Linked DNA regions of Mus musculus: all the other regions are reported to be linked to region 5. Evidence: microRNA targets listed by miRTarBase, many of them from high-throughput screens and not tested one by one. Region 5 holds a microRNA gene; each other region holds the end of a gene's coding sequence.
What was found. Region 5 holds the annotated microRNA mmu-miR-1192 (AAACAAACAAACAGACCAAAUU, at 1,285-1,306, opposite strand). A microRNA usually pairs through its seed, bases 2 to 8, with sites in the 3' UTR of a target mRNA and lowers its output. Matches are read on the target gene's strand: a 7mer-m8 pairs with bases 2 to 8, a 7mer-A1 pairs with bases 2 to 7 and ends in A, and an 8mer does both.

Region 1: the mRNA of Cmtr2 is a reported target of mmu-miR-1192. Seed matches in the 3' UTR shown: 7mer-A1 at 1,684-1,690.
Region 2: the mRNA of Ubtd2 is a reported target of mmu-miR-1192. Seed matches in the 3' UTR shown: 7mer-m8 at 2,477-2,483, 7mer-m8 at 2,481-2,487, 7mer-m8 at 2,485-2,491 and 7mer-m8 at 2,489-2,495.
Region 3: miRTarBase lists Preb as a target of mmu-miR-1192. The part of its 3' UTR that is shown has no 7-base or 8-base seed match.
Region 4: miRTarBase lists Cul5 as a target of mmu-miR-1192. Seed matches in the 3' UTR shown: 7mer-m8 at 676-682 and 7mer-m8 at 680-686.
Region 6: miRTarBase lists Pex13 as a target of mmu-miR-1192. Seed matches in the 3' UTR shown: 7mer-m8 at 2,192-2,198, 7mer-m8 at 2,196-2,202, 7mer-m8 at 2,200-2,206, 7mer-m8 at 2,204-2,210, 7mer-m8 at 2,208-2,214 and 7mer-m8 at 2,212-2,218.
Region 7: miRTarBase lists Scmh1 as a target of mmu-miR-1192. Seed matches in the 3' UTR shown: 7mer-m8 at 1,973-1,979.

Annotation. Positions count from the first base shown.
Region 1 is chr8:110,222,968-110,226,062 of GRCm38, reverse strand. It overlaps Cmtr2 (cap methyltransferase 2), which reads right to left. Exons shown (of 2, transcript NM_146215.4): 2 at 1,574-3,095. The coding sequence ends at 2,700. Among named protein-coding and RNA genes, the nearest start is that of Cmtr2, 6.6 kb to the right of the region's middle.
Region 2 is chr11:32,515,993-32,519,087 of GRCm38, forward strand. Ubtd2 (ubiquitin domain containing 2) reads left to right here. Exons shown (of 3, transcript NM_173784.4): 3 at 98-2,717. The coding sequence ends at 495. Among named protein-coding and RNA genes, the nearest start is that of Efcab9, 10 kb to the right of the region's middle.
Region 3 is chr5:30,953,132-30,956,226 of GRCm38, reverse strand. It overlaps Preb (prolactin regulatory element binding), which reads left to right. Exons shown (of 9, transcript NM_016703.3): 8 at 138-297; 9 at 490-3,095. The coding sequence ends at 584. It also overlaps the pseudogene Abhd1. Among named protein-coding and RNA genes, the nearest start is that of Preb, 5.6 kb to the left of the region's middle.
Region 4 is chr9:53,615,083-53,618,082 of GRCm38, reverse strand. Cul5 (cullin 5) reads left to right here. Exons shown (of 19, transcript NM_027807.4): 19 at 73-3,000. The coding sequence ends at 267. Among named protein-coding and RNA genes, the nearest start is that of Acat1, 6.2 kb to the right of the region's middle.
Region 5 is chr19:23,147,661-23,150,755 of GRCm38, reverse strand. It overlaps Mir1192 (microRNA 1192), which reads right to left and starts at 1,325; the gene lies at 1,205-1,325. The region is part of intron 1 of Klf9 (Kruppel-like factor 9); the gene reads right to left.
Region 6 is chr11:23,646,524-23,649,618 of GRCm38, reverse strand. Pex13 (peroxisomal biogenesis factor 13) reads left to right here. Exons shown (of 4, transcript NM_023651.5): 4 at 29-2,336. The coding sequence ends at 327. Among named protein-coding and RNA genes, the nearest start is that of 0610010F05Rik, 14 kb to the right of the region's middle.
Region 7 is chr4:120,529,039-120,532,133 of GRCm38, reverse strand. It overlaps Scmh1 (sex comb on midleg homolog 1), which reads right to left. Exons shown (of 18, transcript NM_001379185.1): 18 at 1,934-3,000. The coding sequence ends at 2,875. It also overlaps a transcript of Slfnl1 not described here. Among named protein-coding and RNA genes, the nearest start is that of Slfnl1, 1.6 kb to the left of the region's middle.

The DNA.
Region 1 (3,095 bases), not on the chromosome of region 5:
CTGACACCACAGAGCCCCAAACTCCATGATTCTGTGACTATAAGTCACACAATGTCCCAAGCTTCTGTCTAGACTCCACCCCCACACCCCCACCCCCGAGCTACCTGACTATAGCCAGGTATGCTCCTCCCCACAGTTACCTGATAGCACAGCCAGATAAAAGGACCAGATGTGGGTCAGTGAGCGTGGGGGAATAAAGGGAGTGGGCAAGGGCCCGCATCCCGCCAGAGTTCCAGTGCACTGGGTGATGGACACGAAAGGATTGTCACAAGGGCGAGAGACCTGGGTTTGGTCCGTGGCTGGAATGCAGGAAGGTCTTCCAGCAGGAGGTTAGACAGCTCCTTAGCGGAAAGCTTATCCCATCGTTCAAGCACAGTGGGCCTTGATGAGCAGAGACAGTCTATGGTTTTAGAGCTTTATTGTAGAAAGGCAGGGGGAAGAGAGAAGGTAGAAAGAGAAAGGCTGGCCATGGCCATGTGGAGAGAGGAGGGAAGGGAGAGAGAGGAGGAGGGCTAGAGAGGAGAAAAAGAGGTGAGAGCTTAAAGAGAGTGAGGAGGGGCCAAGCAGCTCCTTTTATAGTGACCCGTCACAGCAGGAAGCATGGGTTGGTGCCTCATGCTGAGAGCTCATGTTTATGGCAAGCAAGAAGCAGAGGGCATGTTGGGAATGGCACATTTTTATAACTTGAAAGCCCGCCCCTCAGTGAGGCCCTTTCTCCAGTAAGGCCAAATCTCCTAGACCTCCCCAGACAGCGCCACTACTGGGAATTAAGTGCTCAATGCCAGAGCCTATGGAAGACATTTTCCTTCAACTCCCCCATATCATGCTAAAAATGATAGACTGTTTAAGCATGTTCAAATGTTCTATATTGCAATACAGATTAGTATTTTGAAAAATTCAATCTTTGATGGTCTTAGAAAGTAAGTTTTGGGGACTCAGAAGTTAAGAGCATTTGCTGTTCTTGCAGAGGACTGGAAGTTAGTTCCCAGAAGGCACATCAAGTGGCTTACAACCACCTACAACTCCAGGTCCAAGAGACCCACAGTCTTCTGGCCTCCAGGACCTCAAAGTACATGTACATACTAACACATATGTACGTATACACACACACACACACACACACACACACACACACAAAAGCAAGTTTCACTTTGTCCTAAACTCAAATGTTTATCTATATCCTAGTTAAATGGGTTAAATAAGTTAAAAAAAACAAACAAACAAACAAACAAAACCCAATCCATTATTACTAACAAGGCAGCAAGAGTAGTTTCTCTCCTGGTAGACTGCAACTAACCAGACCCACCCTCATCAAGTCACTGGTAGGAAAGGAAGTTCCTTCAGAGAGAAACCACCTCAGACTTTCACCACCGGACCATACCCCCCTAGCCCAGCCCCTGACATGTACAAATTCTCTCCTGAAGATTTCCCATGAATAGAACATTGAAGGAGTACATTCTCATGAATGCAAATGAAAGGAAATGAAACATTAATTCCCAATCAACCTTCCTTTGGAAGTTTCCAACTTATAAACTTCTACTATGATTATCTTTTAATGAAACAAACACAAAACACACCTGCTGAAGACTTTATTTGTGGCTTGTAATGGAACTCAGAAATAGCAGAGCATGAACTATTTGTTAATTGGATACATGATAGAATACTTCTATTTTTTTTTTTAAGTAACAAAGAAATACCTAAAAATTTATATGAGGTCTAATTATGTACCTTATAAAATTTCAAAATAATGACAAATTAACACCTTGGTAGAAAAGTTCATTATTTATTAAATACATATTTCTCAATGAAATTGATAAAAATGTCTATCTCATGGATAATCTCAGTAAGGTGCTATTTTCATACTAAAAAACAAAACCAATAAAGATACAAAGTTTGTTTAGCCATCATTCTGGGTTACATTTCGCCACAACCATCACACTCCGGTGTAACCCACAGGAGACTGCACACCAAGCCTTAAAACCATCTTTCCTTAAAAATGCCAACATTGCTGAAGGAAGTGTTTCGTGACAAAGGAGTACTAGACACAGTTTTTCACTGTACAAAAATGACCTTTGGTTTTGGCTTAAAGCTGTTCTTTCTTATTAGTTGAAGTAGTTATAGCTAGCAAAAGTCATACAAAAAAAAAATCTGTATTTCATTTCAATTCAAAGAAAATGAAGCCACCAATCAAAAGGCAATGGCACATATCAAACAATCTGGAATAAAGATCCCTGAAGTCCACAGACATGCCAAGTGCTTCCAGGTAAATAGTGAAGCCAGAGAGTGACTCACTTCCTGTCATGAATAAATAACCTCTAACAATCATTAAAAGCATCAGCCTAAGAGAGGAATCAGTTGGGGAAAAAGTCTGAATGAAGGCACAGGGTGTAAGTCTGCAGCAGATAAGACTGACTCAACTGTATATGCAAGCAAGCGTGTAGCCACTCGAACACATACAGATGTCACATGATTAGGGGCTAAATACCATCAGTACACGGCTCCTACCACAAAAACTCTGTGCCTATGAGTCATATATCCTTCACATCAGAACAAGCCACAACTTTCCACAATTAATGTCCTTTAATACACAAATTGGTGTCTCTCCAAAATGAAAAGTATTAAATAAATAGGGCAGGTAAAATGAAATCGGAAACTGTAAGTCACAAAACGGCTGCACGTCATCAATGCCGTGCTCAATTTTATAACTCAAGGCTGCCGATGGCTTGGTCTCGCTCTCCTTGAATAATCAAATGCAGATGCCTTTTAGCAATGGCAGCGTTCAAATCCCACAAAAAGTCAAGCAGCGTCCCCTGAAGGAGCGCCTCCATTGGTAGGAACTGTAAAATCTGCCGAGGGGCACTGGGGTGCAGCAGCTTGCTCAAGAGGTCATGAACATTCTGTAGAAACTGGAAAACTGCATCTGGAAGGTTCTGATAACCAATGCACAGCAAGACGGCACAGGTCCTGAGGGGCTCCAGGGACGTGGGACAAGAGAACGTGATAAATCTAAAACAGCCGTGGAGGACGAAGGTCAGGCCAGCCATAAACCTCGTGAAGCAAGAAAGGATGGGCAAGACCATCACATCTCCCCTGTG
Region 2 (3,095 bases), not on the chromosome of region 5:
GTACCTGTCGGAGTTTCTGATGAGAGAGATAAAGCTGACAGCACTGAGTAGAGAGAAGCACACTCACTGAAACTGTCCCTGTCCCCTCTCTCTGCAGGTGCACTGACAGAGTGCTACGATGAGCTGGGGAACCGGTACCAGCTGCCAGTCTATTGCCTGGCACCACCAATCAACATGATAGAGGAAAAGAGTGACATAGAGACTCTTGATATTCCTGAGCCACCTCCCAATTCTGGACACGAATCTCAGCTCCGCCTGCGGCTCTCCACAGGCAAAGACCTCAGGCTCGTGGTCCGCAGCACAGACACAGTGTTTCACATGAAGAGGCGCTTACACGCCACAGAGGGCGTGGAGCCAGGCAGCCAGCGCTGGTTCTTCTCTGGCAGGCCTCTCACGGATAAGATGAAGCTGGAGGAGCTGAAGATCCCCAAGGACTATGTGGTGCAGGTTATAGTGAGCCAGCCTGTGCAAACCCCAACACCAGTGGAGAACTGAGCTGGACTTGCCTTCTTCCAAGATCCCGTGGCTCCTTTTTATTGTTACCATTTCTTACTCTTAAGGCGTGAAATTTATTTTCACTGCTCTGAATTCCCTATGAATGGATTTAGTTCTGAGGAATTACCAGTGAAAAATTCCATCTGTGATGGAGACCAACAAAAATAATAAAACACACAGAGCCAGCCTCTGATACTCTTATAATTACAATTTCTAATTTGAAAGACAGTTAAGAAATAGATAACCATTTATTTTAAAACATTTATCAACTGTGTAATGGCTGTATTTAAATGATCTCGAATGTAAACAGACACCAGACCCATCAAAAACAGCACCAAGCACCTTTTGGACACAGAATTTTTATGACATACATGTCAAATTTTTTTTTTTCCAGAACCATCAATAACAGTTACAAAACCTAATCTTTTTTTTCTTTTAAAGTGGAACCTAAAAGAGCATAGAGTTTTGCTTCTCTTCTGGGTTTGTAGTCCTACCCACCAGGAGGCAGTGAGACTGGGAGTTGTCAGTGTTCCTTCCCCTCCCACCAAGTTCTGCTCCCTGTTGACATGCACTCAGTCCTGTGGCCGTCATGCTGGCAGCGGGCACCCTCTGGCGCCCTGAGCAGCACGTTAGTAAGTAGTTAGAGCTTGTATTCTCAGTTGAGAAGTTTCTAGTCTTGCTTCATAGTAATCTTAACATATCTGTGGACCCAGGCTTGACAGCTAGCTACTATGTGATGTCTTTGCTGACCCTGATGCTCTGCGTGACCATTTCTGTAGCTTCCTGGCCCCGCCTATATATTCCTGGGCCAGGCAAGACAGAAATGGAGTATAGCTGCTTCCAGTCCAGAATGAAAAGCAATCTTCTCCTTCCTGCCTGCAGGGAATGTGAGTAAAACCCTCTCTGCCTGTTCCTGGGAAAACTGTGCCTATTCTAAGCCTTGGAGAAAATTCCAATTCAAAATGTTCGTGTGTGATAGCTAACTAGTGTCATTTAAACTGCATTGGTGGGAACAGATGGTAGCGCCTGGCTCAGACTGGAGTGCTTTCACTTAACTCTGACTCCAGTCACTGTGGTGGCAGGGTTCCTCCCACACCTTCCCAACAAAGGTGAATTAACCTCCATCTGCACACTGGGCTAAGGGACTGAACATAGTAAATCAGGCTCACCTTCTCTGGAGAAAGCTGCCAAGGGTTATATTTAATCTGGAGCCTTTTAAAAGCTGTTTTTGCCAGGCATGTTGTACCTGCCTTTAATCCTGGGCCTTGAGAGGTAGAAAGAGGCAGATCTCAGAATTTGAGACCAGCCTGGAATACACAGCTAGTTCTAGGCCAGCCAGAGCTACTTAGTGAGACTGTGTCTTAAAAAAAAAAGTTGGTTCCCTGAGAAGGGGACTATCATGTGACCACACTGTCTCTGAAAGTTTGTGAGATGTGAACAGTAGATGAAAGAAGGGTCTGTGCTTTTCTCAGTCAGGAAATACCAAACCTCCTATTCGGATATAAAATGCCATTCATAATTTTAGTGGCAGAATGAAACCTCTAAGCAGTTTAAAATGTAATTTTTAAGTATTAAATTTCTTATAGCCTGTTTAAATATATCTATAATTATAACTTACATTTCTGAGAACTTTAACCATTTCCCTAATTCTGTTCATCATTTAGTTTGTGATTGTATCTAATTTAGATTTGGTGGTGACTGATCTAAATTCAGAAGTGCACACACAGCTTTAGCAACCAAGGATGCCCACATTTCCATGTGGAGGCTCTAGGGTATTCCAGTGCATCTCCCTCCCACCATCAAGAAGGTTGGTTCATTTGTCATATTGAATAACAGTATCTCAAAGTCCGTCAGTTGGAAAAGTGGTTAAACCTATTATTTTTCTAAAGGAAATTTGATGGTGTCATGAATAACCTGATTGTTAAAAGGTCTTGTTTCTTGAGGGTTTGTCCTAAGAGATTTGTGGGGTCTTTTGGTTTTTGTTTGTTTGTTTGTTTGTTTAAATTTTAAAGGAACATATACTTTGAATAACAATCCTCCAGGCATGGTGAGAAAAAAACCTAGGTGCTGGAAATTGTCAATAGGTTAATAACCTAGGTGAGAAAAAAACATGGTGCTGGTAATTGTCAATAGGTCGATGTAAGATTGGATCAATACTTGATGTGTATCATTTTAGTATGTAGGGGTTTTGTGCTTTTTTTAAAAAAAAAAATTCAACTTTTCTCTTTGTCTTTGCCATTATTTCTCTATACAGCGACAGTTTCCTGCATCCTATAGGAAAGTGTGAAGTGTTCTCTCTAAAACCGGTAGTGACCACCAAACCTAAGCTCTGCTCCACCACATACTGCAGGTCACTTAGAGGTGTGCCTCACCAGCACTGCTGCCTTGGTCTAAAATAGGTTCACCATGGCTCAGTCGCTACTACTTGCTGTGCTGCCAAGGCAACACTGGATTCCAACACTCAGCCAGTTGGGCCAAACTGGGGAGCTCCAGTTTCAGTGAGCGACCCGCCTTGAGAGGAATGACACCCAGTGTCATCTCTGGCCTCTGCATTCACATACTCAAACAATGGTGTATATATCTTACTTTGTGTGTATTGT
Region 3 (3,095 bases), not on the chromosome of region 5:
TTACAAGCTTACTCTGTCTGCCCTGATGACACAAGAAGGATCTGGCCCAGTCCACAGGGGAAGCCTGTTAGGACTGTGGAGCGTGTTTCCCCGAAGGTAGCTTCCAACTAGGCTTTCCTCACTGCTTTCTCCCCCAGCGCCTGTATTATGTGAAGGAGGCCCATGGCATTGTGGTAACAGATGTGACCTTTCTACCTGAGAAGGGTTGTGGTCCAAAGCTCCTTGGGCCCCATGAAACTGCTCTTTTCTCTGTGGCTGTGGATAGTCGTTGCCAGTTGCACCTGCTGCCTTCACGGCGTGAGTCATTGTTGTGTGTGTGTGTGTTGGCAGGGAGGGTACCACTTTAGCTATAGCAAAAATTGGCCCCTGGAAAATGGACTGTTTTTATCCATCTACCTGCCCCTCCTTGAATGAAAGAGGTTAAAGGTTCTGGTTTTCAAGTTCCAAAGCATCTTTGCCCACTCATTTCTTCCCTTGCCCTACCCACAGGGAGTGTTCCTGTATGGCTTCTGCTCCTGCTGTGTGTCGGCCTTATTATTGTGACCATCCTGCTGCTCCAGACTGCCTTCCCGGGATTTCTCTAACCTCTAGAGCGATGGGAATCAGCCTTGGACAGTGCCGCCTTCCAGAGCAGAATCACTGAGCCCCACGGCTGAAGCTGCATCTGATGAAACTGATGGGTACTGCTTGTCCCTCAGCTCACACTTGGCGGTGGCCTCTCGATCACTCTGGGTCTTGGGAGCTCTTGCCTTCACCTGTGGATCCACTTAAGACATTGTGGTCTGAAGCTCAGGCCACAGTGCCTGCCTCGTTCCCTCAGCCTCCCTCCCAGGGCTCCAGAGCTCAGCTCTTCCTTTTCTAGAAGCATGTGAAGATGCCCAAGAGCCTGGAGACATTGCCATCCTTCCTACAGAAACTGTTTCTCCTCCTCCCCTCCAGCCTTCACACAAGGGCCTTGGCTTTGTTGAGACAGAGCCTGTGCTGGCACTTGCTGTTAGGGTAGGAAGAGGCACAAAGAGGACCCCGGTAGCGGTGATCTGTGGCCTTCTGTGGGTAGCACCAAGCCAGTCAGTCCAGACACATAGTGAGTTCCTGGAGGGTCTACTGCAGCCTGAGGAAAGGGAACCTCAGCTCGTTAGGCAGGAAGAGTTGATATTTAATAAAGAGAGAACAATTGAACCGAGAGCCCAGCAGTCCTCTTGTCAGCTCTTTCCATCTTCAGGAGTGAGTACTCCCAGGTCAGGTAGCCCCACTGAGTGCTGGAAGATGGCTCGGGCATACTGATGTAGTACGCGGTTCATGTAACAGTGTTGCCAGGGCATCAGCCCTTCCAGGAAGCCAATGTGGCCACCCCGAGCTGTGATGAGCAGGGCCACATAGGGAGACTTCTGGGCAGCCTGCAGAGGGAAGGCTAGAAGGGAGTCAGGAGGTCAGAAAGCTGTCCGGGAATGAGAACCCAGGCTCATACCTCAACCCTCATCTATGGCTCAGTAGCTGTGGGATCAGGACCTCGTTGCAGGCACTCACCATGGACTGGGGAGAAGGGGTCATCTGCTGCATTGAGGCAGAGAACAGGGGTGTGGATGGCATCTACCTTGGTTCTTGGGCTTGCGGCTTGGTAATAAGCCGCACAGTCTTTATACCCAAAAGCCACAGATGTGTAGCGCTCATCCAGCTGGCGGATCGTGCGGGCCTGTGTGGTAGAGGCATGGTAGGCTATAATATTAGAACGTAGGAGACCAACACTGGGGTGAGAGGGTGATCGAAAGATACCTTTATCGCAAAGTCTACATCCAACACCTTTTCAATTGGCTTTCGGTTCCTGGAAAAGAATACATCAGGGTTTGTCTGAACTCCTGCACCTAACCCAGAGCTCACAGCTTCTGTCTTCTTACCTCCTCAAGAAAGCCCAGATTGGAATGGACCCAAGCACTGGCAGAGCCTGCCATCTGCTATCCTACCTGGCCACAAGCCGGCAGAGTCCAGCAGTGAGTGGCTGATTGAAGAGCAGTGAGTTGAGTGGGGTCTCCAAGGAGTCAACGGTCTCAAAGGAATCCCAACATGCAGACAATGGTCAGTCCTGCGACCAAGCCTCCAGCCTTCCCAGTCTGTGCCAGATAGTTAAGCACCAGTATCCTGTAAAATTGGATGCAGGGCCATGGAAAGTGTTGGCATGGGAACACTGGGACAGAAGAGGAGAAAAAGACAAGATGAACAAACCCAGGCAACTATTACCCTCCAAAAGAGATGCCCACAGCCAGCAGTGGAGCTTGGGAGTAGCGACGTTTTATGTGCTTCACAACTGTTTCTAGGTCTTCAGTATTGCTGGCACAGTAAGCCCTGTGAGTCTGAGGGCAAAGCGGGTCATTGACTAGGGAGGGAGGCTCTTGCCAGAAGACAGCCAAGCGGAAGGGCTCAGGAAGGGTAGGGGGTTGGTAAGTAGGTAGAGCCCTAGGGCCAGTGGTCTCTAAAGGGAACAGGGACAGGGCCACCACAAAGGAGGAGGGTACTCACCAGCAGCTCTTCCCCTCGGCATCCTCGGTTATTAAATACAACAGCCCTGGGGCAAGATAGGAGTGTGAGCCAAGCCCTCCCAAGAAGACCCTCCCCTTGATAGTCTTCAGAAAGGCCCCTGTCAGAGAGTACCATATCAGGGTCAGATGTACTTTTGCCCTTCCCAAGTTCTGTACCCTGTCCTTACCTATAGCCATCCTTCAGAGCTTGGTTAACTAGGTGTAAGATGTACGGCTCCTGGCTACTGCCGCTGATGCCTGGAAGCAGCAGTACTATGGGCTGGGTGGTAGGGTCCGGGTAGTGAGTGCTGTTAGGCTGCTCGGCCCAGTCTAGAAGGAACTGGCCTCCATCTGGGGTCTGGAGGACTTCACTGGGGTTTAGAGATTGCAACACAAAGATGTTATTAGGAGTTGCACTTCTGCATGTCAAAGCTCTACCCTCTGACTCGCCCACAAGCTCTGCTGTTTGTCATGGGTATCACTTGAAGGCACGCTTCATATAAAACAGCAAGGTGACCAGCTAGATTGGACTATTAACCTTGTGTGGGTGCAAGTAGAGAGCCTTTCCATACATATAGGCTC
Region 4 (3,000 bases), not on the chromosome of region 5:
AAAAGTTACTGGTTTGCTTTGCTCAAATTAATTGAATGTATTAATGTACTTTCATTTTCATTTTTCTCTTAGGAAGCCATCATACAAATAATGAAAATGAGAAAGAAAATTAGCAATGCCCAGCTGCAGACTGAATTAGTAGAAATTCTGAAAAACATGTTCCTGCCTCAGAAGAAGATGATAAAGGAGCAGATGGAGTGGCTGATTGAACACAGGTACATCCGGAGGGACGAGGCCGACATCAACACCTTCATCTACATGGCCTAGCCGGGCCGCTGCTGCCGCACACACGCCCCTGAAGGCCTGGGCAGAGGCTGTCCCAGCCCCAGCTGGAGGAAGCTTTATTTGGACTTTGATTACATAAATATTAAACTCTGCCTTACCTTACAAAACGACTCTATTTTGCCAGTCACATTAGTTAGCATGATGGCATTCCCTTCATGTTGCACACTCTTTAACAGCATGCTGTTTTGTGGAGAAAATTGCATTCATGAAGAGCCCATTGTGAACTTTCAAAGTCAATTCAATTTTTACCCACCTAGAGAAATAACATGTCGGAAGGGTGAGGGTGGGGTTCTTTTTGCTTCTTTTATCCCCTTTTCTTCTTCAAAGAAATATACTTGCACAAGGAAGGATTTTCAGATATTCATGCACTGAAAAATGCTGGGGATTTTTGTTTGTTTGTTTGGGTTTTTTAAATTCTTTTTTTTTTTTTTTTTTTATGAAATTAAAGCTAGACGTAGCACTAAGCTACTTCTGATGCAAAGAATGAATCGTCAACACTGTGCTGGGCAAGGGCAGGCACACTTGAGAAGACACGTGTGCCAGTGTCAAGTTGTTTGTCAAACACTGCTTTCACTTTAGTGACTGGATCTTAATGGTAACCTGAAATGGTATTAAATATTTCTACCTTATAAATCCTGATTTTCAATGAGCAGGAGAGTTCTGTTTAGTTATTTGTTGTTAAATGATAAAGATTTGGGATTTTTCTTTTAAACCTTGTACGGCTGGAGAGCTTGTTTTGAAAACATGAAGTTTATAATGAATGTTGCTTCAGTTAAAAAATGTGTGGGTATACGTACATTATTGATTGCATAATCAGAATCTTGAAGCAAAAATTAAGTGTGTTACTAATACACTCAATTCTCATACGTCTAATATTTATTATACTGTACCTGAATTTGTTGAAAACAATGCAGAAATATTCTGATGCAGTGCAGTGAGAGAATTGCTTTCTTAACCTGTAGCATAGAATTATTTGGTGATTGAAAGTGTTGTGATTAGGGATTTACCACCTCAGTTTTCTGGAAAGACATTCTCTATTTAAAAGTAATAATTACCTGCCACTTAGCAGGAAGAAAGGTGAGATTACAACCTGCAACCTGAAAAGCACTCAAAGTTGTTAGTCTTAACATGAGCAGTAACCTTGCCAAATATGTACATATATTTATATATTTTAAAAATAAACATTTTTAAAATGTTCAGAGGGCAACACCTACCTTGCTCCTCTCAGTGATCCAGAGCAGTGACTCAGGACTTTACAGAGCAGTGGAAACTTAGAGATTGAGGACTCAAGCAACTGAAGAGAATTATTCCCCAGCAGGAAAAATGGCTCCCTGTGGATTTTACTCATTGTGGTGCACGTTTCGAGTTTTCTTGCAAATTTTAGAACTTTTGATGTTAAGTAGTATTTTGAAGTATTGGTTCTGAAGCTAGCAGAAGATGGAGTGTTGAGAAGCATACAGTATTATCTATCCTATTACCACAGAGGGCTGTGGATCTGCCCTGCTGCTCAGCAGCTGGGGTCTCCTTGCTGGAAAGAAGTAAAGTATATGTTAGATGTTTAAGGCTTTGATAATTATAGTCATATATCTGTTGTGAAACTCATAGGAAGTTGGAAGTGCATGTGTGCTTGCTGTGCCCTGCAGCTCTGAGGTGATGGCTAAAGCAGGTGTGCAGCGCAAACTCAGTCCCTGCTGCTCTACCACGTGGAGGATGGAACATCCGGAATTTAGAGGGATAGTTTTATCATGACTGTTCAATAGCTTGGTGTTGGCAAATTTTCCTGTCCCAATACCAGAATGCCAAAGGAGGAAACAATCAAGGGAAAAATTTTAGGCCATTTAAAATGACAAAAAAGATTTGTCATTTTAAACCATCATTTTCTTTAGAACATCTTTGAAATTTCTAATCGCTTTGGTCATTTAAGAATGAGAGCTGTGATGTTTTGATTTATAAAGGCAAACTTAATGCAAAGTGGGTAACACTAAATCCATAGCAAAGTTTTTTATTAAATTTTTATAAATTTTTTAATAGTTAATTATGTCCTAATTGTATTTTGGGGAATGAGCAGCAGTAAATACCACAGACTTAACAGTTTCATCCTTTTTTAAAAATATATATATAAGAGTGTAACTACTTTTTGGTGTTTATCAAAACTATTTAGTTGACAAGGTGCCTATACCATTGTTGGGATTTTCTTTAAATGTTTTATGAATAGATTTGATAATTTATCTGAAGATCCAGAACCACTGACAGCGCCCCTCTCTCTCCCTGCAGACTTCATAGTCTTGCTATCTGAGCAGGGCCAGACATGCACAGGGAGGGAAGGAGAGGCCAGCTCCCACTCACACTGGGAGGCATTGTTAAGTGAACGGTACCGCAGGCTCAGATTTGAGCACTTCTGTCTACCTAAGGTGGCGCCATCTGTAAATGCTAACCTGTCACCAACTCACGGCCAGAGTAAGGAGACAGGGAACAGATGCATGCAGTGGAAAGGGGAGACTCCTGGACGCGCAGTTAGACAAATGTGAGGCCGTCATCAGTCTAATAATTTATAAGGATCCTCAATCAAATTCTGAAGTCTCCGACTTTCACAGTTCTTGGAAGGGATCCCTGAGTTTACCAGCGTGCTCACTGAAAGCTCTCACTCTTTGTGCAGAAATATTAAAGTCTCCGAAAAGGTGAACTGTTAATCATTCTTATTTTTTTTAACTCTTC
Region 5 (3,095 bases):
ACGGAATTACGGCAGCCCAGGAATTTAAGTCACTTTGGGGCGTGTGTGTGTGTGTGTGTGTGTGTGTGTAAGCTCTATTTTCTGTTTCCTGTATTTACTGTGGTGTTTCTGTTGAGTACGGTGCACATTGAAAGGACTTTGGAATCTCGATAGGAACCACTACATAAATGGCTCATCTTTACAGAGACCTTCTCTATTAAGTAACACCTGGGATAATAAATGCTCACGTAAATGTGATTCATTTCATCCCTCAGAGCACTGGAATAGATGATGTGAAAACCCTGAAGATCACACGGCTGCTTATAAAACTTGTCCCATGTGAAGCATTTGTTTGGTCTTGGTTCCCCAATCATCTCCTCAGGGGGGCCTGTGAGTGCATGAGCACTTGTAAAATATGTTGAAATTATCTGTACTCTGCCAGGTCCTTTCTGTCCATTCGCTCAGAGCCTATCTTTTCTGCTAAGCTCAGGAGAGCAGAGAAAATAAATGCTGCTCTTTGGCACAGCCTATTTGCAAGCCTAAGTGGACATCGGTGTTTGATTCGCCTTGTCTGGCCTCTATCTTCCTCTACTGGTAAGGAACAGTGCACCTTGCTTCCCTTTGCAGCCAGTCCTTTCTCTGAGCCCACACCTTCAGACCTGAGAGTCTTGGATAAATAAGTCTGTTTTCATAAGGGACACACCACTTAAGCTTAGCCGTGGCTTTCAGCCTGGGTTGTTTGCTGGAATCATTAGGAATGGGAAGTAGTCTTTCTGTGGGGCTTTGCTGAATTGGCAGGAAGTGAGTCTGGTGTTGCTTGGCAGCCATTTTAGTACCATTCAGAGACAGCCTGCTCATGAATGAAGCCAGAGCCAGCAAGAGGGTGGCAAAGCCATAGAGAGAGGGGGCACTGAATGTCCATCTGCATTCAGCAACTCCTGAACTTGGATCTCCATTTTTAATCTTTTTTTAAGTTTTGCTAAGTAGCCTAGTGTGCCCTCTAACACGTGGCAGTTGTCTGCTGCCTAAGCCTATCAAGTGTTGGGATTATAGGTGAGAGACACAACGCCCAGCTCAGAGCAAGTCCAAGTCTGGACTTTCTTGCTTGCAACCTATTTATGGATCCCAAACCCAGCCCCTGGCAGGTGTGGCAGCACTGGCCTGTCATCTCAGCAGTCTGGAAGCTGAGGCAGAAAGACAGCCTAGACCATAGAGTTGCAGGCTGGCATGAGCTATACAAGCCAGACCCTGTCTCAAAACACAAAAGCAAACAAACAAAAAGAGCAAATCGAAACAACAATGACAAATTTGGTCTGTTTGTTTGTTTGTTTTTACTGTTTGGAAGGAAATAGTTTCGGGTGACAAGGTCAGGAGCAGTTATTTTTGTTGACTTTCCTAACTAAAACTCATGAAAACTATCTTCACATCAGACCTGGGGCACAAGGAAGACAGCTTAAGATGGTGGCTCTAGGGCCAAACCCAAAAGAGCCATAAGAATAAATACAGAATCTCTTCTCACTGGGAGCAAGCCACTCAACAGCCCTCACGTACAACTTAGACCTTGAAACAACAGTAGGAATATCTCAGCATAACCTTGGACGAGTCTGATTCCTCCTGTTTAAACAAGAAAAGCAACACACTTCTATTCGGTCTTATGGGATTAACATTCAAGTGAAATGCACGTAAGCCACTTAGCTCAGGCTCTGAGACATACTACATGTTCAGGACGATAGTGCTCACTAAGTCTCAATGGCTGTCGCCATCTAACACACCTTTCACTTGTCACCATTGCTCAGCACCATCCTGAGTCCACCTAGAATTCTAAACAAAAATTCTAAGGCTCTCAAAGGTGTCTGGGATATGTATGTAAAATATATATTTTTTAATTGTAGTAATCCTCAGCAAAAGGTTGGCATGCATAATCTTTTAAATGACTCATCTGAACGTGGCCTCATAATTTCATGAATATATATAATTATGGAACCCCATTTGACAGGTGAGAAACCTGAGGTTTCAGGGAGATAAAAGCTTTGCTTGAGTCTTTGTGATGAGAGTTATGGAGTCAGGGTTAGGTTAGGCCTGGGCAGGTGCATGCTCCCATCACGGTACCTCTGTTTCTATGGTGAAGGTAAAGGCTCTTCTGGAAGCCCCTTGCCTTAGCTAGAGCTCCTGAGAAGTCACTCACTATTCTGATGGGCCAGGGCCTTGTCGTCACTAACTGTGATCTTAGCAGAGCTGATCCCCTGTAAAGGGCAGGTGCTGAAGTCCCCCAACCTTTCTCCCATTGTTCTGAGCCACAATGATCTGCAGTGTTGGCACATGCCTTTAATCCCAGCACTTGGGAGGCAGAGGCAGGCGGATTTCTGAGTTCGAGGCCAGCCTGGTCTACAGAGTGAGTTCCAGGACAGCCAGGGCTACACAGAGAAACCCTGTCTCGAAAAACAAACAAACAAAAAATAAATCAATAAATTTCAGGGGCCCAAGACACAGTGCTAGCAGCACTCAGGAGGCCCAGGTTCCATCCCCCAACCCCAGAAAACACTTTCATTCACGCAAAGACCCAGCAGCTCTGGCCTGGGATGATGGAGTGGAAACCTTTGGATCCCAGGTCCAGATTCTCAGCTCTTACCACAGGCTTCCAAAGCCCCGAGCACCTGGGAAGTGTGCAGCTAAGACAAAAAGAGGCTTGAAGACACACCTCACAAACGTGTGTGTTTAGGAACAAGTGGGAATGAATGTGGAGAAAGACCCAAGAAATTAAAAAAAAAAAAAAAAATTTGGGTTCCTCCCTACTCTGGTGGAGGACGCCATTCTCCCAATATCACTGCTAGTCCTACACTTACTGAGGAGGCAAGACAAATACTAACTCTTGGCCTTCCAGGAAGGAAAAAGCAAGGACTCTGAGCTTGGCCTGGAGCTGCTTCAGGAACTGAGGTTGGCTGGGCACGAGAGGAAGAGGCTGGGCCACTCCCCCAAGCCCCTATACCTGATTAACTCATCTAAGCGGCATCAGCATCCATCCGGCACAGCTCTAAACCAACAATATAAATAAAACCTCCTTAATCACAGATTCAAAGCCCCTGGAGCTCACAAGGGAGGGAGACATGAGCGCTCTC
Region 6 (3,095 bases), not on the chromosome of region 5:
CTTAAAAGCTGTCTTTCTCTTTCTTCAGAACAACAACCCAAAGTGCGTGGTTGGCTTCTGGCTAGTCTTGACGGTCAAACAACAGGACTTATACCTGCAAATTATGTCAAAATTCTTGGTAAAAGAAGAGGCAGAAAAACAATAGAATCGAGTACAATGCTCAAGCAACAACAGTCTTTTACCAACCCAACATTAATTAAAGGAGTCACTACCACCAATCCTTTGGATGAACAGGAAGCTGCCTTTGAATCTGTTTTTGTTGAAACTAATAAGGTTTCCAGTGCACCTGATTCTACAGGGAAAAATGGAGACAAACAAGATCTTTGATGTGTTTCATGTTTGTGGGCAGGTGAACAATATTTTAGAGTATTTTAAAAAATCATTTCTTACAGAGAAATTAATTTGCAGTTGAATGAAAGCATTTGCTCGTGGCTGTGCCGAGTGTTCTGCTGCTAGAAGTTATGTAGTCACACGCTAGCTGCTAGTCAAGTGATCTGTCTACACTTGACTGTCTTGTGGACCACGAGGACATTTGTTTCACCTAGTTTTTAAGATTATGGAGATAGTTGTCAGCTCCATCTTATCTCAGTCCCTAGGCTTATTGGAACAGTAAATTTGATGAACAGTAGAACACACAAGCTGCCTCAGAAGGGATCATTAACGCTTCTTAAAGTTCTGAGTTAGTTGACTTGAAGTCTTCAAAAATTGAGTGATAACATCTACTTATAAGAACAGACAAAAGGCTAATTTTTTTAACCTTATAAATAAACTAAATAATAAAAATTTTCTCATCTGTATTATGTCCAGTGTTGAATTTACTTTAGGTGATGTGTTTTTACCAGCAAATAATTGATAGTATTATCTTTTATTGTATTTATAAAAGTGTGTTCTTAAGAGGTCACTGGAGCACTGTGAAGAAGATGGTTCTGACTGACAGCTTCTTAACCTCCTTACAGTGTCACAGATCTCATCCTGAGCGAGTCACAATATATAGCTAGATCTCATCCTGAGCGAGTCACAATATATGGATTTTTGTTCTTTTCCTCCAACTAAGGCAGGAGTCCTTTAAGATTATACTTAATGATATAATCAATTCTGGCAGTAATGATTTTTAATCCTGAATTTTCTGCTTCTATATAAGATAATTACTTTTGTAAATTCCAAAATCAGGTTATACATTAAATATTTGAAATATGTCTGTCGGGGTTGGGGATTTAGCTCAGTGGTAGAGCGCTTGCTTGCAAGGCCCTGGGTTCGGTCCTCAGCTCTGGAAAGAAAAACACAAAATAACAAAAGGACCAAAAAAACCCAAGGTAACTGAAATATGTCTGTCACATTGGATAGATTTCTTGTGGTTTTCACTACTGAGACTATAATTTGCTTGCTATTTCAAATACGATGACTTTTTGTTTGGTTGTTTTTTTTTGCTTAATAGTGAATTTTATGTGTTTCCCCATAGAATTGGAAGCTTTATACGCTTGCTGTGAATATACTACAGATTAGAACTGTCAGAAATAAATCACAGAATTCATTTATAGACACTACTAACAGCTGTGGGTTTTGATAAAAAGTGATTTGGGTTTTGCTTCTTTCATATAGATAGGTTTATCAAATAAATAATTCTGGAGGAGTTCATATTAAACCATGTCTAACCCAATATCTGCTCAGAACAGAAGCACTAAAGACTTCCTAGGAAGCCCTTTTTTGAAATGACAATATAATAAGTAATGTATCTTTTCATCTTAAGATAGAGAGAAGCATTTACGGTACTCATTTATCTTTTAGGCTGATTTTTCTGACATTCAGTAGTAACTTTTCAGTTGAGAAAGGGGGTTGAATAATCTACCACTGAGGCATGGCCCTGACTCTCAAAGGTTTTAACAAATATTTACTTCTGACTTGAGATGCCTGAACTTTTCTCATGTCTAAATGTTACTCCAGACATCTAGACTAAGCACTAGGAGTAAAGTAGAAATAAAATGTTGAGTCAGCACTATTTAGGTTTGGGGTGTTGTTTTGTTTTAGAAGATGAGCTTTAAAATAGGATTTGTGACTAATATTTCAGTTGTATAGGAAAGAGCTTAGACAAATAAATGATAAAACTTTCTTTTAGGGTCTTTATTGTTTGGCTGTCTATGCTAGATTATATAGTATTAACCTAATAACTACCTGTGTCCATTCTTTTTTATTTGTTTGTTTGTTTGTTTGTTTGTTTGTTTCAAGACAGGGTTTCTCTGTATAGGCCTGGCTGTCCTGGAACTCACTTTGTAGACCAGACTGGCTTCGAACTCAGAAATCTGCCTCCCAAGTGCTGGGATTAAAGGCATGCGCCACCACCGCTCGGCCTGTGTCCATTCTTTATTAAAGTCTTAGAAAAACAGTTGTAGGACTAGAGTGGCAGAAAGTTTTGTGGTTTAGAGTAAATGAATAGATTGGTCACAGCTCCAATATAATTTTAGGGACTTCCTGAAGTAGCATTACATCACAGGAAACTACACTTTCAATTAAATAATTCATAAGCTACAGTAAGAAACTAGATATCAGAAGCTTTAATTGTATTTTGTCAGCTTGGGAAGAAAAAGATTAAAGGACTATAAATGCATTTTCATGTTCTACATCTTACTCAAGTCTTAGCCAATTATTCATTTACCTGAGTGCAGCGGCTCTTTATTTTATGCTGTCTTTACTGGAAAAAGAAATGAAATACAGTTAAATTTGTATTTTTAATAGGTTGTGAAAATACTTTACTGGAGAATTAAAAATATTTGAAACTTAATTTCTTTTTTTAAGATTATAGCTGCAACAGAACCATAACATATACTCCACACAAAGCACAGTACAATGTGAATGCATGCATGTTCCTCTCTCTGCTAATAACAAGAAGAGTGTTTCTTTTAGTGTTCACATGTACTGTTAGTTAAAACGCATTAAGTGGTAAAGGGGTGTTTATAAGAAGAACCAAAGAACTCTTCTAACAAATAGATGTCATGTTCTAAATGTGATAAGTGAGTTATTAATGGTATGTGATTTTCTTTGGTTTGTAACACTATGACTTTACCGTATTTTCACGTGTACATTTCACAGAAGATTCTACG
Region 7 (3,095 bases), not on the chromosome of region 5:
TGGGATGCTGAGTGAGACAGACTTCAACAACCATCATGTCTGGTAGATAATGTAAGCAGACACAGCAGCTCGATCGATACACACCTTGCCCATGGGGCCCTTGGAGTAAAATCTAGAACTGTGGACCTGAAGACACTTCTTCCCTCTACACCACCTCTCCAGCCTTCGGTGCATACACAAGCCACCACTTACCATCTCCTTTGGCTCTGCAGTCTAAAGTCTCCACTTCCTTCCTTCGTCCCCAATTCCCACTGACCACTGACCAGACCTAGCTGCTCCCAGGATGAACCAAAAAGTACATGGTGTGGTCCAGGGCTCCCCTGATACAAGGTTTCTCTATGTGTCAAACACAGATATTTCTAGTTATTGCTATCTAGAAGGAACTAAAAGTCAGCTAGCCATCTTGAGGGACAGAGCTATCTGCTGCTTGAGTGACATGCAGCCTCTGACAATGTGGCAGCTAGTTCCTTGAGGGCAAGTCTTAGCTTACAAAAGGACTTTTTATCATTATTTGGAAACTGATTTATGCCGGGCAGTGGCGGTGCACGCCTTTAATCCCAGCACTTGGGAGGCAGAGGCAGGTGGATTTCTGAGTTCGAGGTCAGCCTGGTCTACAGAGTGAGTTCCAGGACAGCCAGGGCTACACAGAGAAACCCTGTCTCGAAAAACCAAACAAATGAATGAGTGGATGAAAGAAAGGGAAGGGAAGGGAAGGGGGAAGGGGGAAAAGGGGGAAAAGGGGGGAAAGGGGGAAAAGGGGGAAAAGGGGGGAGAGGGGGGAGAGGGGGGAGAGGGGGAAAAGGGGGGAAAGGGGGAAAAGGGGGGAGAGGGGGAGAGGGGGGAGAGGGGGGAGAGGGGGAAAAGGGGGAAAAGGGGGAAGGGGGAAGGAGAAGGAAAGGAAAGGAAAGGAAAGGAAAGGAAAGGAAAGGAAAGGAAAGGAAAGGAAAGGAAAGGGAAAGGAAAGGAAAGGAAAGGAAAGGAAAGAAGGAAGGAAAAAGAACCCTGATTTATTACTGTGTATGATATGGGGGAGGGAGTACAGAGGACAACTCTGGAGTTGGCTCTCTCCTTCCTACCTCTGAATTTTGGGGATCAAACACTTTTTACTGACCAAGTCACCTTGTTGGCTCCCAGATAAATACTTCATCACACACTTCCCTCCTCTACTTCTAGTGACCCTGATTACTGGGAACAAGGGGGAGGGAGACCACAGTGACTGACTGGTTCAATCAAGTAGCTGTTTGCCTTCCTGAGGGCAGCCATTTTGAAGGCATGCCTGAGCCTTTGTTGCACGTAGGGTTGGAGGCAGAAGCTTGGGCAGGGAACTGCAGGGAAGTAAAAAGGCAATAGTGTGCAGGTCAGGAAGAGGCCTAGCTCCACAGGGTGGCCGGATGAGGCTCTCTGAAGACTTGGCCATGCCTGTTCCCGTCGGCCCCACAACTCTCACTCCCACAGCAGCAGTGTAGCTTGGTGGCTCCCTGGCTGTTATCTCAGGCTGTTGTGTCCTACACTGGCTCCAGTCAGCCTTCTTCACCTCCTGTAAACCTGCTCCCACTGTAAGCCAATAGGCTGCATGATCCTTGCTCAGTACAGTGGGTACCATGAAGGCTGTCTGTATTGCCTCTTCTCACCCCACGAGGAGGAGGGAAAGCAGCCTACTGAGGCTCTGGAGTTGCTATCTCTTGGATTGCTTCTTGGCTTGATGGAACTATAGTACAAATGATTGTCAACCTGACAGTGAAGCAACTGGGAGAAAGCCTGGGGCCTGCACGATGCTGAGTGCTGTGGGCACTTGGACAGTAGCCTGTTCTTTGGGACTGTGAGGCAAGAGTTCCTAGGGATGATCCGGCTCAGGCTCCTTGTTTTACATGTGAAAGAACCAAGATGAAGTGAAGGGGTAACCTGCTTGTTGAGTGATTTGGATATCAACTGGTTAAAAAGACACGGGCATTTGTATTGGTTTTTATTTATAAACAAACGGACACAAAATAGTTCAGATGGCAGTGGGGGCAGCAGTGCTGCTGACTTGCTTAGGAGGAAAGCACAGGAGCTAGCAGAGGGCAGAACTCCTCCAGCCTTGAGGTCCTCCTCCCACCATTGGGGCCCCGTGACCTAATTGCATTAGGCCCCATCTTTTGCAGCAATTCTGACCAGGGCAGGGAGCTGTGGGGGCAGGGAGAGGGGAAACTCCATCAGAGATGAAGACTGGGGCTACAAAGGACCCAGTGTAGGAAGAGAGACCCTCACCTTTTGCTCAGTGAGCCAAATACTTTGTCCATTCCAGAGAAGAAGTGCCCTAGGGCAGTGTCTTCTGAAATAGGCCACACTTCTCTGGAGAGGCCCTCTCTGGACCAGAGGATGGTCTCCCTCTTCCAAAAAACTGTTTGGTGCAAGAGAAGCATTAAGTCCAAACGCCAGAAGCAATAAATTAGCAATAAGAAAGGATCTCTTTAAAAAAGGTCTGCACCATAAGTTCAGAGTCTGGGGATCCAGTGAGAAGGCATGAGCTGGGGGCCTTGGGACACTATGCCAAGCCCAGGAGGTGGCAAGGGGCCTGGGTACCAGGGCCTTTCAAGGTCCTAGGGCTGGCGTCTTCCTCATCTCTTGAAAGGTGCTCGTCTAAACTTGTGGAGAGAGGCTGGCTAGCCTTGAGAAATAAATAGAAGGGCCTGGGAGCCACAGCAGGCTAAGGGGAAGAGCAGCACCAGCCCCGGGCCCACTGTTCCCTCCTCAGTCCTTCATGGAAGGACACATCAGGGCAGGAAGGGTAGCAGTGGTGGCTTTCCAGCCTCCTAGAGTCCTGAGGTCACCCAGAGCCCTACTAAGGTGCCTGGGAGCTGGCGGGCGGCTTCCTGGGAGAAGAGTGCCTCCTGTTCAGAACTTGCCCTGCTTCAGCCGGTCAATGTGAAAGGAGAGCTTGAGGGCGGGCCCCAGCTTCAGGCCCATGTACTTCATCATCATGTCACTGCGCAGCAGGAGCAGGGCCTTGCCATCGATTTCCTGGGGGTGGGGAAGAGCAACCATCAGAGGTCTGCTTGGTCGAAGACCGTCCAGAGCAGTGTTAGGCACACAGTGCAGTCAGGCTGCTGGGATCC